Linked DNA regions of Pelodiscus sinensis. The protein of the gene in region 1 interacts with the protein of each later gene in a biochemical or structural test. Links are inferred from orthologs where the notes say so. Each region holds a gene or a part of one and is shown on either strand. Other genes may lie near its edges.

What was found. The genes of interacting proteins can lie anywhere in the genome.
Region 2: of the proteins of MARK3 (region 1) and KSR1, one has a biochemical effect on the other in vitro, tested with the Homo sapiens proteins (2 studies listed by BioGRID). The link is inferred for Pelodiscus sinensis from reciprocal best matches to the Homo sapiens genes MARK3 and KSR1.

The regions. Positions count from the first base shown.
Region 1 is NC_134714.1:20,612,574-20,619,553, forward strand, and holds the start of MARK3 (MAP/microtubule affinity-regulating kinase 3), read right to left. Parts: upstream 3,011-6,980; 5' UTR 2,292-3,010; coding exon 2,241-2,291; intron 1-2,240. UniProt on the Homo sapiens protein: Serine/threonine-protein kinase. Involved in the specific phosphorylation of microtubule-associated proteins for MAP2 and MAP4. Phosphorylates the microtubule-associated protein MAPT/TAU. Phosphorylates CDC25C on 'Ser-216'.
Region 2 is NC_134731.1:10,839,948-10,846,982, reverse strand, and holds the start of KSR1 (kinase suppressor of Ras 1), read right to left. Parts: upstream 3,009-7,035; 5' UTR 882-3,008; exon of another isoform or gene 26-881; 5' UTR 1-25.

The DNA.
Region 1 (6,980 bases):
GCAGAAACACATTGACTGGCCAAAACATTACAGAGGGATCTGTTTAGACCTGTGTTGTGCAACCAACACTAGTGATTGGGTTGCATGAGAGGCCCTCGATCTCACTGAGCTGCAGTGGTGCACAACCTGCGGCCCATGGTCTACTGGAGTTCCACCTGCGGCTCAAACACCCCTTTCTGTCCCCTTCTCCCATGCCTCTTGCACACTGAGGCATTGGAGTCCTGCACTTCCTACTCTTCCCTCCTCTCTCCTAGCACTCTGAGTGCTCCATCCTCCCCACACACAGAGAACTCAAATGCTGCAAATCAGCTATTTCTGGCTGTTCATGCTCTGGGAGGGAGGGGAAGGAACATCAGTGAACTAATGGCAATCCAAATGTACTGGGAGGGAAGGGGAGGAGTAGGAAGTGTGGGACTCCAGTGTGCGAAAGGGGCATGGATGGTAGACAAGGAGTGCATGGGCCTCAGGTGGAACTTGAGTGAGTTGCCTGTGACCCACAGACTGCCCATCACCGGTTTAAGCACTTTGGAAGTTCAGATAAATACAAAAGGCCACTAAAATTTTCATTTTTAATTATTTTCTTCCACCATGCAGCTTTGGCCATTAGGCTGAAGATGAATGACATTCTGCAACAAAATATGCTTAGTTAACTTTTTGTTCAATACAGCCGTCAGCCCGCAGGTTGTATCAAGGGCTAAAGCAAATCAAGATCATAGAAGTGAGAGATGACTATTAACATAAAATCCAAATCCCTGCCAATTCAGTGACTGTTCTATGCAGCACGTTTTTTAATCCTTTGTCTGGTCTTGTTTTAAAATGTCTTCACTAACAGGGTTTCCACCAATTTCCCTTGTTCGTGCTCTAACTTGGAAGTTTTCTTAATATTCAGCCTAAATTTTCCTTTTATTTATTTCAACACAAAACAGGTGTCTCTCACCAATCACTTTCACTCAGACCCAGGAATGGTTTCTAATAGATATCTGGTTATATCTATAATGAAAGAAACTAATAATGCTCACTGATTTTGCTTATTTGTGATTCAGAGCTGAATAAACAGACAACTCATCTGCACACCTTTTCACATACAAAGACCATTTTTTCCTAAAATTTGTCCTTTTACACATGATTACTTTGAGGTAAAAATAAGGTTCTTACTTAGAGAGGGTTTATCTAAGTTTGGGGTTTGGTTATATTATGTTTCTGCATACAGTTGATTTGCATATTAAATACTTCAAATAAAAAGCTAACAATATAACTGTTTAAGTTAAACTACTAAAACATGCAGTTTTATTTACATGTTTAACATTCATTGTCAAATGCTACCCTTTAATCAAGGGAGGACTTTCTGACTTTGCAGATTTCAGAAAAGAGAATCTTTCAATACCATCTGAACAAGTGAAAATAAAGCTATTATACTAACTGTTAATAATCATTCAAACTAGAGATGGAAAGATATATAATCTAGGTCACCTAGTCCTCTCCGGCCAGCACAGAATTGTTCTCTGTTTACCAACTGCTTTATCTGCTTGTTTTAGCAATTAATTGATGTTTATAAGCAGTATGGTGTTAAAATATAAAGGTATATGGATTACTATTCCCAAATTCAGCAACACGAATATGAGGTAGTACTGCATTTGCACGGTAAAGATACACCATTAAAACACTGCAGTGTTTTAGATTACTTTCAGCATTACTATTGGCAAACCAAGCTCTTAAGATACACTTAGTTAAACCGTAATCTAAGTAATTTAATAAGCAGGCCTAGAACCTCAATGATAGCTCTCATAGCTACACTACTCTTCACACACCTGTGAAACATCTGTTTAACAAAACCCAGCTGCCAGAACAGTGCCTCGAACCCGTGTCACAACGGCAGGAACATAATACATACCCACAATGCCAAGCTCCACTTTGGGGATTTTAAATTACATAGTTTGATTCAGTACAGTATGTTTCATTCAAATTATACCTATGGTTTACGTTCGCAAAGAGAGCGCCAATGTCTGCTAAAAACAAATGCACATTTTTCTCTGGCAGTTTTTCTTGGGAGACATTTTTGTCTCTGTACACCATACGCCCACCCCTCTCTATGCATGCCATCCTTTGTGTACAGCAGTCACACTCAAGCACACGAGCGACGCGGCCACCAAAGCATTACAGCACACACGTTCCATAGGTGACAGGCAGGTCTGGCCACCCCAGCGCCCACTCCCCCAATACACACCACGCGGGTTACTTACATTCTCAGTGTCGCGTTCATTCACCGTAGGCAATGGAGTTCTCGTGGACATTTTAATTCGCTCGTGCTGGAGCACCGGCTACTTGCGACAGCAAAATAAAACACCCCTCCCCCCCAACAAAAACCTAACCCACCCACCCCCAAAAAAGCTCTGTCAATCAGCTGCAAGACAGTGGTTACGAAGGGCCACCATCAAGGGACGGGGTGGGGGGCTGCTTATTTCCACGGCCACCCCCCCACTTCTGAGCTATATTCCAGCCTGGCGAAGGAGCAGCGTCTCCCCCTGGGAGTCCTCGGCGCTCATCCTACAGCCAGCTCAGGAGCCCGGCTCGCAGAAGCGGACGGGTGAGGGTGGCGGGGGGGGAATCCCCGTAGAGCGCAGCGGTCGGGGGGGAGGGGAGGCGAGGAAACAGCCCGGAGGAGGCAACGGGGCGCCGCAGAACCCGGCCAGGAAAACAAGCCGCCTCTCCGCAGCCAGCTCCGAGCCCTGGCAGCCAGGCGGGCCCGCTCCGAAGCGCTTCCCTCTCCCTTCTCCTCGCCTCTCCCCCCCCTCCCCAGCCCCGCTTCACCGAGCCTTCGCCGCCATGCTGGGCCTCTCCCACCCGCCGCCGCCGCCCGGCTGGCCCGGGCTCCCCTGCGCCTTCCGAGCCGGGTGTCAGCAGCCCCGCGGCCGGCTCCGGCAGCCCCCGCCCCCACTCCGCCGCTGCCTCAACGCCGCCCGCTCCGGGACGGAGGATCCAAGATGGCCGCCCGGCTTCCTTCGCTCCGACTTGAACCGGAAGAGCCCGCCCCCTGCCCCGGTGCTGGGCTGGGCAGCCGGCCGGCGCCGACTGCTTGTTGCTAGGGGAGGGGACTGAGCGCCCCGGCGTAGCTGTGGCACCGGCACCAGGCAGCTGCCCTGCGGGCCCGCCAAGGCTCCGGGCCTGGAGCTGGCACCAGTAGCACCGCCCTGCTCTCCTCACGCGGCATTGCCACCGCCTTGCGCCGCTACATGTAGCATTGGCACAGACAGCGCCGCCCTGCACCCTCCCCCCCCATGGCACTGCAGCATGGCCCTGCTCCCCCTCTATGTCATGGGCACAGATAGCGCCGCTCTGCACCCCCACGGCGCTGGCAGCATGGCCCTGCACCCCTCTATGGCATTGGCACAGATAGCGCCACTCTGCACCCCCACGGCGCTGGCAGCATAGAATCATAGAATAATAGGACTGGAAGGGACCTCAAGAGGTCATCGAGTCCAGCCCCCCGCCCTCAAGGCAGGACCACGCTCCGTCTACACCATCCCTGACAGATGTCTATCTAACCTGTTCTTAAATATCTCCAGAGAGGGAGATTCCACCACCTCCCTTGGCAATTTATTCCAATATTTGACCACCCTGACAGTTAGGAATTTTTTCCTAATGTCCAATCTAAACCTCCCCTGCTGCACTTTAAGCCCATTACTCCTTTTCCTGTCCTCAGAAACCAAGAAGAACACATTTTCTCCTTTCTCCTTCTCTCCTCCCTTTTAGATATTTGAAAACCGCTATCATATCCCCCCTTAATCTTCTTTTTTCCAAACTAAACAAGCCCAGTTCATGAAGCCTGGCTTCATAGGTCATGTTCTCTAAACCTTTAATCATTCTTGTCGCTCTTCTCTGTACCCTTTCCAATTTCTCCACATCTTTCTTGAAATGTAGCGCCCAGAACTGGACACAGTACTCCAGCTGAGGCCTAACTAGTGCAGAGTAGAGCGGCAGAATGACTTCACGAGTTTTGCTTACAACACACCTGTTGATACAACCTAAAATCATATTTGCTTTTTTTGCAACAGCATCACACTGTTGACTCATATTCAACTTGTGGTCCACTATGACCCCTAGATCCCTTTCCGCCATGCTCCTTCCTAGACAGTCGCTTCCCATCTTGTATGTATGGAACTGATTGTTCCTTCCTAAGTGGAGCACTTTGCATTTCTCTTTATTAAACCTCATCCTGTTTACCTCTGACCATTTCTCTAACTTGCTAAGGTCATTTTGAATTATGTCCCTATCCTCCAAAGAAGTTGCAACCCCACCCAGTTTGGTATCATCTGCAAACTTAATAAGCGTACTCTCTATCCCAATATCTACATCATTGATGAAGATATTGAACAGTACGGGTCCCAAAACAGACCCTTGAGGAACTCCACTTGCTATCCCTTTCCAGCAGGATTTAGAACCGTTAACAACAACTCTCTGACTACGGTTATCCAGCCAATTATGCACCCACCTTATCGTGGCCCTATCTAAGTTATATTTGCCTAGTTTATCAATAAGAATATCATGCGAGACCGTATCAAATGCCTTACTAAAGTCTAGGTATATGACATCCACCGCTTCTCCCTTATCCACAAGGCTCGTTATCTTATCAAAGAAAGCTATCAGATTAGTTTGGCATGACTTGTTCTTCATAAACCCATGCTGGCTATTCCCTATCACTTTATTACCTTTCAAGTGTTTGCATATGATTTCCTTAATTACCTGCTCCATTATCTTCCCTGGGACAGACGTTAAACTGACCAGTCTGTAGTTTCCTGGATTGTTCTTATTCCCCTTTTTATAGATGGGCACAATATTTGCCCTTTTCCAGTCTTCTGGAATCTCCCCTGTCTGCCATGATTTTTCAAAGATCATAGCTAAAGGCTCAGATACCTCCTCTATCAGCTCCTTGAGTATCCTGGGATGCATTTCATCAGGACCTGGTGACTTGCTGACATCTAACTTTCCTAAGTGATTTTTAACTTGTTCTCTGTGTATCCTATCTTCTAAACTTACCCTCTCTCTGCTTGTATTCACTACGTTAGGCACACCTCCAGACTTCTCGGTGAAGACCGAAACAAAGAAGTCATTGAGCATCTTCGCCATTTCCAAGTTTCCTGTTACTGCTTCTCCCTCCTCACTAAGCAGTGGGCCTACCCTGTCCTTGGTCTTCCTCTTGCTTTTAATGTATTTATAAAAGGTCTTCTTGTTTCCCTTTATGCCTGTAGCTAGTTTGATCTCATTTTGTGCCTTTGCCTTTCTAATCTTGCCCCTGCATTCCCGTGTTGCTTGCCTATATTCATCCTTTGTTAGTTGTCCTAGTTTCCATTTTTTATATGACTCCTTTTTTATTTTGAGATCATGCAAGATCTCCTTGTTAAGCCAAGCTGGTCTTTTGCCATATTTTCTATCTTTCCTACACAGCGGAATTGTTTGCTTTTGGGCCCTGCTGGGCATTGGCACAGATAGCGCCGCCCTGCACCCCCACGGCGCTGGCAGCATGGCCCTGCACCCCTCTATGACATTGGCACAGATAGCACCGCCCTGCACCCCCACGGCGATGGCAGCATGGCCCTGCACCCCTCTATGGCATTAGCACAGATAGCACCGCCTGCACCCCCATGGCGCTGGCAGCATGGCCCTGCACCCCTCTATGGCATTGGCACAGATAGCGCCGCTCTGCACCCCCACGGCGCTGGCAGCATGGCCCTGCACCTCCTCTATGGCATTGGCACGGATAGCGCCGCCCTGCACCCCCACGGCACTGGCAGCATGGCCCTGCACCCCCTCTATGGCATTGGCACAGATAGCACTGCCCTGCATCCCCACGGCGCTGGCAGCATGGCCCTGCTCCTCCTCTATGGCATTGGCAGAGATAGCGCCGCCCTGCACCCCCACGGCGCTGGCAGCATGGCCCTGCTCCTCCTCTATGGCATTGGCACAGATAGTGCCGCCCTGCACCCGCACGGCGCTGGCAGCATGGCCCTGCTCTTCCTCTATGGCATTGGCACAGATAGCACCGCTCTGCACCCCCACGGCGCTGGCAGCATGGCCCTGCACCCCTCTATGGCATTGGCACAGATAGTGCCGCCCTGCACCCTCACGGCGCTGGCAGCATGGCCCTGCTCCTCCTCTATGGCATTGGCACAGATAGTGCCGCCCTGCACCCGCACGGCGCTGGCAGCATGGCCCTGCTCTTCCTCTATGGCATTGGCACAGATAGCACCGCTCTGCACCCCCACGGCGCTGGCAACATGGCCCTGCACCCCTCTATGGCATTGGCACAGATAGTGCCGCCTTGCACCCTCACGGCGCTGGCAGCATGGCCCTGCTCTTCCTCTATGGCATTGGCACAGATAGCGCCGCTCTGCACCCCCACGGCGCTGGCAGCATGGCCCTGCTCCTCCTCTATGGCATTGGCACAGATAGTGCCGCTCTGCACCCCCACGGCGCTGGCAGCATGGCCCTGTTCCTCCTCTATGGCATTGGCACAGATAGCGCCGCTCTGCACCCCCACGGCGCTGGCAGCATGGCCCTGCACCCCTCTATGGCATTGGCACAGATAGTGCCGCTCTGCACCCCCACAGCGCTGGCAGCATGGCCCTGCACCTCCTCTATGGCATTGGCACAGATAGCGCCGCCCTGCACCCCCACGGCGCTGGCAGCATGGCTCTGCACCCCTCTATGGCATTGGCACAGGTAGCGCCGCCCTGCACCCCCACGGCGCTGGCAGCATGGCCCTGCACCTCCTCTATGGCATTGGCACAGATAGCGCCGCCCTGCACCCCCACGGCGCTGGCAGCATGGCCCTGCTCTTCCCCTATGGCATTGGCACAGATAGCGCCGCTCTGCACCCCCACGGCGCTGGCAGCATGGCCCTGCTCCTCCTCTATGGCATTGGCACAGATAGCGCCACTCTGCACCCCCACGGCGCTGGCAGCATGGCCCTGCACCCCTCTATG
Region 2 (7,035 bases), on another chromosome or scaffold:
GCCTGAGGGGATGCCTGGGGGAGATCTGATGTGGGGAGAACAAATTACATGTTAGCCACAAAAAAAACCAAACCGCCCTTAACTTGTGAGCATTTCAGAAATCTAAAGGGAAATTTGCACATGAAAATCTCATTTCTAAGGGAACAATGAGCAGCAAATGCCACCAAGAGAGCCCAACTACACCTGTGTTTGCACAAGAGATCAGTAATGCACCTCCTCCCCCCCCTCGTCAGGCCCCCAGCAGCTATTGAGTTCAATGGGAACTGAGAAACTAAGTCGCTTGCCCTTAGGCCTTAGTGTTTCAAATCATGGCAATAGCTCACATGCCCCAGGATCAATGTTCCCTGTCAGCTGGGTAACCATGAGGCCACTCAGGAGATTCCAATGCCACCTAGCTGATCAGCAGAGCACCCAAAGTGAGGTTTTGTTTCTGTTGGTAGTGCACATTCACACACGCTTCAGTGCACATACATTTATTCTGCACACGGATAAAAAAAAACACATCCGTGCGTGGATTGAAAAAGATGAGCAGGAACATTGCCCAGAAGCTGCTCTTTTCATCGTGTGTGGAACCAATATAAGCTGTAAATGGTTTCCTGCTCTACATTTAGTAGGAGTGTGCAGATTTATAGAACTTATTAGTAGGGGAAAACAAATTATTATTACAAGATCACGACTAGAGATGGGGAAAGTCCACCCATCTTACAAATGCAGCACCCCTTAAAGGAGGCCCCATCAGACATGCTAATAAATATTTGCACGGCTTGGTGGATGGTTCGCATTTCCCATCAGCTTGCTAGCATTTTAAGGCAAATCAAACACAAGGCTGAAATACATCCTGTCCCGTTGAGTACTATGGGGTAGGTCTGGGCAATGCTTACTTGCTCTGAGGAGCACCGACTCACTCACACAAGTAGTCTTATTATGTCTCCAGCAGCAATAAAGGTTACACAAGTCTAGCCCTATAGTAGCAAGAAAATGTTATTAAGAAAACAAAAGGAACAAAAACAGGGTTTCGGGGGCGGGGCAGGGGAGTCCCAATTTTAAACCAGCTTCAAATGCCTGCTTAGGAGGGCAGCCTTGATCTGGAAGGGGACCACCAAATAATGCTTGGTTATGACTATTACCGCCCAGCTCTTAGGTAGGCTTTGCACCAGTCCATCACTAAGGACTTTACAGAGGAGATCAGAATCATTATCCCCATCTTGCAGTTAGGGCACTGACCACAGAGAGGCGAAGTGCCTTGCCCAAGGTCATTCAGCTGGCCAGTGGCAGAGCCAGGGAAACCAGGCTTTGTTTCACAAGTCCCAGTCCAGTGCTCTACCTAGTAGGCAATGCTGCTTCCACTAGAGTTTTATTTCTATTCTGCCAGCTTTTCCAGGATGCTGATATTTCAGTACCCCACAGATGGGCCTCACACCGAATGCACAGCTCCCGATGCATCGTGCCAATACTTCTGAACACCCATTTCCCATTCTGTCCCTAGATGGCAGCAGATCCTTTATTGATACATCACAGAAATGTTCCACCCTCTCTCTACCCAGCTGGCAGCAAGTCTCCCAGCCTGGGTCCAGAGACTGGGGCTGCGGAACATGCACTAGTGCTTAAAAAACAGCCCAAACTGCAGCCCTAGCCACAGTGCCAGAGCCCTGTGTGCACAGCTAGTTGTAGAGCATTAGCCCCACTAGCTGTGGTCTACTGATCTGGGCTGGGAGGCTTGCTGCTGCGGGCTGCTTAGATGGACCCTACAGTACCTATGTTGTCCAATTTTACAGACCGTGCTTGATGGATAGCCATGATTTTAGAAAAAGCAGCTTGTGTGATTGATATGGCAATTAGTTCCTGCCAGATCCCTGAAACGCCTCCTTAAATTCAGCGTCGGTATCTTTGGCATCATCAGATTAAATAATTGTGGCCTGGTCGATGAAAGATCTATACCGAACAGTGCAGCGGATATGAATGGACTTTTGGGACAACGCATGTGAAGTGGATTTCCTGGGAAACACCTACGGGACGGTGAATGAAAATTCCCTCCCTCTGTCCTCCCCGGTTCTGCAAACACCTACCTTTTGCAGCTATGTCCCTTAGGAAGGGGCCACTGACCAATGTCACCTGCCTGTAGCATCTGAAGACCTAGGGCCAGGCTGCGCCAAGAAAAGCAATCTGGGCACGAGCTGAAGCCGCTATGAACTAGCAACCATTTATTTTTGGGAAAGTAACTTCTAGGGTTCTCTTTTAAAGCAGTTATGCTTTATAAATACCTACCCACCCATATAGTGCACATGAAAGTCTTAGTTTTATTTTTTACAGTAAAGCTAACACATTTTAAAGGACAAGGGGTTTTCTGTTTTAGCTTTATGATGAAGGCAGTGGTGCATGGCAGACGTGTATTGTCCGACCACTGCTGTCACACCATAGCATACCACAGTTCAAGTGCTAGGAGTTTGATTGTGACAGCTGCTGAGTTCACTGCTCCCAATGCTGAAAAACATCAGCCTATGTTTCATTTTAAGCATCTGACTAGCCCTGTTGACTCCAGTGGGACTGACTGTGTGCATAAAGCTAAGCATGAGCCCGTGTTTTGCTGGGTTAGAGCAGGCATACTCTGCACCTTGCACAGCTAAGCCTTAAGCAACCATTACATTTTACTCACAAAGCCCCATGTTGCAGATACAGGCATTGCATGATCCCTAAAGCCAAGGCTATGTGAAATTTAAGAAACTTTGTGCTACATAGAAGGATCTGGTAATGGTATGTACTGATGCTGAATGGTCGGTTGTGTACTTAGAGCTTTTAAATACCAACATATGTTGATACCAAGAGTGTGGAAAGACGGGAGAAATTTTAAACAAAACCACCTTCAATGCAGGTCCAATCCCTACAGTATCAAGGTTTCTTTTTGTTGCTCTATTCGTGTTAACAAATGAGGACTGATCTTGCAGCGCTCATGCTAGGAAATGTCTGCCAACGTTAACAACTGCTCGACATGGAGGACTTCCAAAAAGTTAGCATAAAAACAGGACCATACTGGTGCCACAATGATAAGACATTCTTTTCCCCGCAGGCAACGATGCGAAGACTGCCCCCCAAAAAATCTGTTTCTTACCAAGCCTAGAAGACAAAAAGAAAAAAAAAACAAAACAATTTTCAACACAAATGATCATGTGACAGATGAGCTAAACTTCTCTCTTAAGTGCAGAGCCCTCATTACAACCTTTAAGGCTCTATTTTCAAAACATGGCCTCTGTTTTTCCCCCCAAAGGCATCTTTGCACTTGCATATGCAATATTTTGTACACCTTATTGTGTACATGAATGATATAATTCACTGGACAGAGATCCCCGTGCGCACGCACACACTATGTGAAAGTGGAGGATAGTCAATGACCGGGATTGTCAAAGGAATTTCAGGGAGTTAGGTATTCAAATCATGTGGGAGTCTAAATCCCTTAGGCTCTGTTGAAAGCCCTCCCCCTCCCTGCTGCTGAGGTGTAAATTCTATCATTTATACATTCCACGCCAAACAAAGAGAGCACATGGAGCTATACAAATTCATGTGGAGGATGAGCAGGGCCATTTTGATCCATTAAAATCTCAACAACAATGAAGTGCTACCCTGGCCACCCAAACAGACTTTGGGCCCTCCGGAAGTCAGCAGTTTTATCACGGACTTCAGTAAGACCAGGATTTCACCACTAGATTTAAAGCAAAAGATCTGTAGCCAGCTACACCTCTTTTCGACTCAAGGGAATACCTCTCCCTCATTGCGGAAATCAGTTTGTAGAGAGGATGAACCTCTCTAATCCAGCACACGCTTCATTCGCACTTCGGTTTGAAAGCGAAGCAGAATTTGTATTTGTCACATGTGGTTTTGTTCTTAACTCTTCCATAGTCATCGGTAACCATAACTAACTATGGTAACTTTCCTTCCCTCCCTTTCATATAAAAGGGTGTGCAACTGCCTTACTCACCACTAAAGCAGCTCATAAACAAACAACTCCTTTGTACAAGCCTTCAGTAAAGCCAGGTCCTAGCTGGACAACTCCTTCAAAGGGGCAGAAGGGCCAGCTAAGTGGCATTGGTTTAATGCTAGTTGCAAACTTTGGCTCCTGATCTGAGCTTCCCCAAAAGCCAGGACTACTCTGACTTACCAGGGTGCTTGGCTCATGCTCATTTCCAAAAATAAGCAAATGCTGCATTAACAGAACATCTTTCATCCCAAAATACCTACAAAGCATCTCGCAAGCCCTAAATGGATACACAGAACTACATCCAGATCTCATTTCTTCCGTCACAGAGATGCAGCTGTTTAAAAGCCTCAGCAATACTTAACCCAGCTTAGAACAAGGAGCGAAAGACACAATAGCCAACTACACTGTGTATCAAGTTGCTATACATGGAATCGGGCAGGGGGCTCTTGCACAAAAAAAGACCACTGGTATCCCTAGTAACAGCAAGCTATCTAAATCTAAATCTAGAGTAGGTGTGATCTGAAAAATGTCATAAGTGCAAACGCCCATGAATGTTGGGAAAGGGAGTTCACCAACATGGATTCCAAGGGAAGAGTAGCACCACAACCAGTCACCACCCTCTGTCAAATCTGAGTCCATAGTGATCCAACCCAGTTTGATTTGAGAGCGTGGATGGGACGGCCATGGGTGGCAGGTAATGTAAGCAAGGGAAGGCATTGCCTTCCCAGAATTTCCTACGCTGCCCAGCTGGCTGGGAGGGGCTGGGGCCACGTGGCACGGCAGCCCCCATCCACAGCTGGCGTTGAGCAAGGCTTGACTGGGGGGCGAAGGGGCATAGTCTCAGGAGAAGGGGTGTGGCATGGGTAAAAAGGGAAGGGCTGGGGCTTGCCTTCCCCACCTGGGCCTTCACCCACTGCCCATAGTGACAGTGGTACAAAGGTGTCATGGACTGGGCCTACTAGACTGTTAGCCTCATGTAACAGTGGCAGAGTGTTTCTACCAAGCATACGTTTCAGCAGCGAGCCTTCATCAAAACAGACGGCTACGTTCTACTTTACAACAGGTCTAGGTGGTCTCCAAAACTTCCTGGTTATTTTGTAATCTGAGAAATGGGAACTGGAACGATGCATGCAGCCCTCCCTCCCCCCACACCTCTCCCAAAAAAGAGCCCAGAGTGTAAAAGAACCCTCCCCACCCCCAATTCCCACTCCACTAAGAAGAAGTTGGAAAATCCCAGGCTTACTTTAGAGGAGGGACTTCATCTATTCTGTTGCCCAGCTGTGATTCGTGGGACTTGCTTCTTGTGAGGGTTGGAAAGTTTGGTAGCAGCTGAAAAACCTTCCGGCTAGGCGGAGGGGGAGTCCGTGGGGGTTTCAATTTGTGCCGCGTTTTTAACTGAGGTGTCGTTGGCGGCGTGATGGTGATGCTGTGAGGAGTCCTAAATACCACGTGGCCACTGTGGCTCGGGTACGCTAACGGTTCCAAGAAGTTATCTGCATAGTTAGAAGGTCCATGGCTCGAGGCGAGAGACTCCGAAGAAGCGATAGCGGACACCGACACAGAGCGGGCCTGCTGGCTGTTGCCCTTCGACAGATGCAGGAGACTAGAAGTCCACACAGGCCCTGGTGGGCAGGGGGGTTCTGCAGGGTGAGCAGAGGTTCTCTCTCGGCGCACGTCGGAATTATTCCACAACAGGTCTTCTTTTAACTCCCCACCTGTTCGGCAACAGTCTCAGTGTTAGCAATGGACAGAAAATCAGCACAACGAGACTTATGGACAATAGGAGGTTCTCCTTGGGCAGACCACTAGTTCAATACCTCAGAGTCTTCTAAACAGCCAGCTCAAACTCCTTGCCAATGACGGCAACAAAAACTGTTCCCTTTTCCTAATGGTAGCCAGGAGCTACGAAACCTAAATAAATCTCCTGCCTCCTAGAAGGTGCATGACCAGCTGGGGGCTAGATTTACAAGTTCTTTAGGTACCTGAGATGCAGAGAGTTGCCTGGTGGGATTTAAAGAAGTGTGCCACTGAGACAGGCACCTACCTGCCATAAACTGTTGAAAGGAGTTAAGTCAGTTAGGTGTCTAACTCACATTGAAAGTCTTTGGCGGTTAGGCACCTAATTCACATAGGGTACGTGTGCACAGCGACGTTATTTCGAAGTAGCGTTATCTCGAAATAACTTAGTCCGCCTCTACACAGCAGGCACTTCCTTTGAAATAATGTTGACATACTGTCAAGCTGGAGGACTTTACTCCAACTCCGGTAACCCTCATTTTACGAGGAGCAAGGGAAGTCGGAGGAAGAGTGTTTTATTTTGAAATAAGTGCTGTGGAGACACTCCCAGTTTCGGTATAAGCTATGCAATTGAGATAACTCGAAATAAGCCGCGCAAATTGAGCTAAGCCCTGCAGTCTAGATGCACCCTTAGTCACTTCTGTAAATCCCACTAGGCATTTATCTACATTTATACATGACTCGATGCCATTGTAAAGCTGGCCTAACATCAGAGAGGCAGAAATGTGTCTGAATGATGATTGTATCAAAGATTACAGCCCCCCAACCCACATCCACGGCTTGGGGAGGGGGAAAGGGGGAGTCGTGTCCAACCAGAAAAATTATGTTTAAAAAAGTTGTCTCTGCCTGTCACTTGTCCCCATGCGTCAGTAGTGCTTAGCCACTGTCTGTAGCGTATCACAAACCAGGCACTCCAGAGTATCAAGGCATAACTGCCTCTGTTAGAAGGGCAGTGCTCCTCCTCACATTCCAGCATTTTGACACATTCTAGTAACGTTCATTTCATCAGCACCAGTATCTGCTGGGTAGGCTGGAGGGGACTGAACCTGTCGAGTCTTTCGTAACGTGAGCTCTCAGAAGGGACAATACTTCCTTCTCTAATGCCTCTCCGCTGAAGATCTCCACTAAATTCCATCATCCCCTTAGGAGGCAGGTGAGTATTATTAGAGCCCTAGGAGGGATGTAACCATTCCACTGAATTGGTTAAGTGTATTGTTTAACTGGTTAACTTATTAAAGATGGGGGGGGGGGGGGGGAAATCCAGCCCA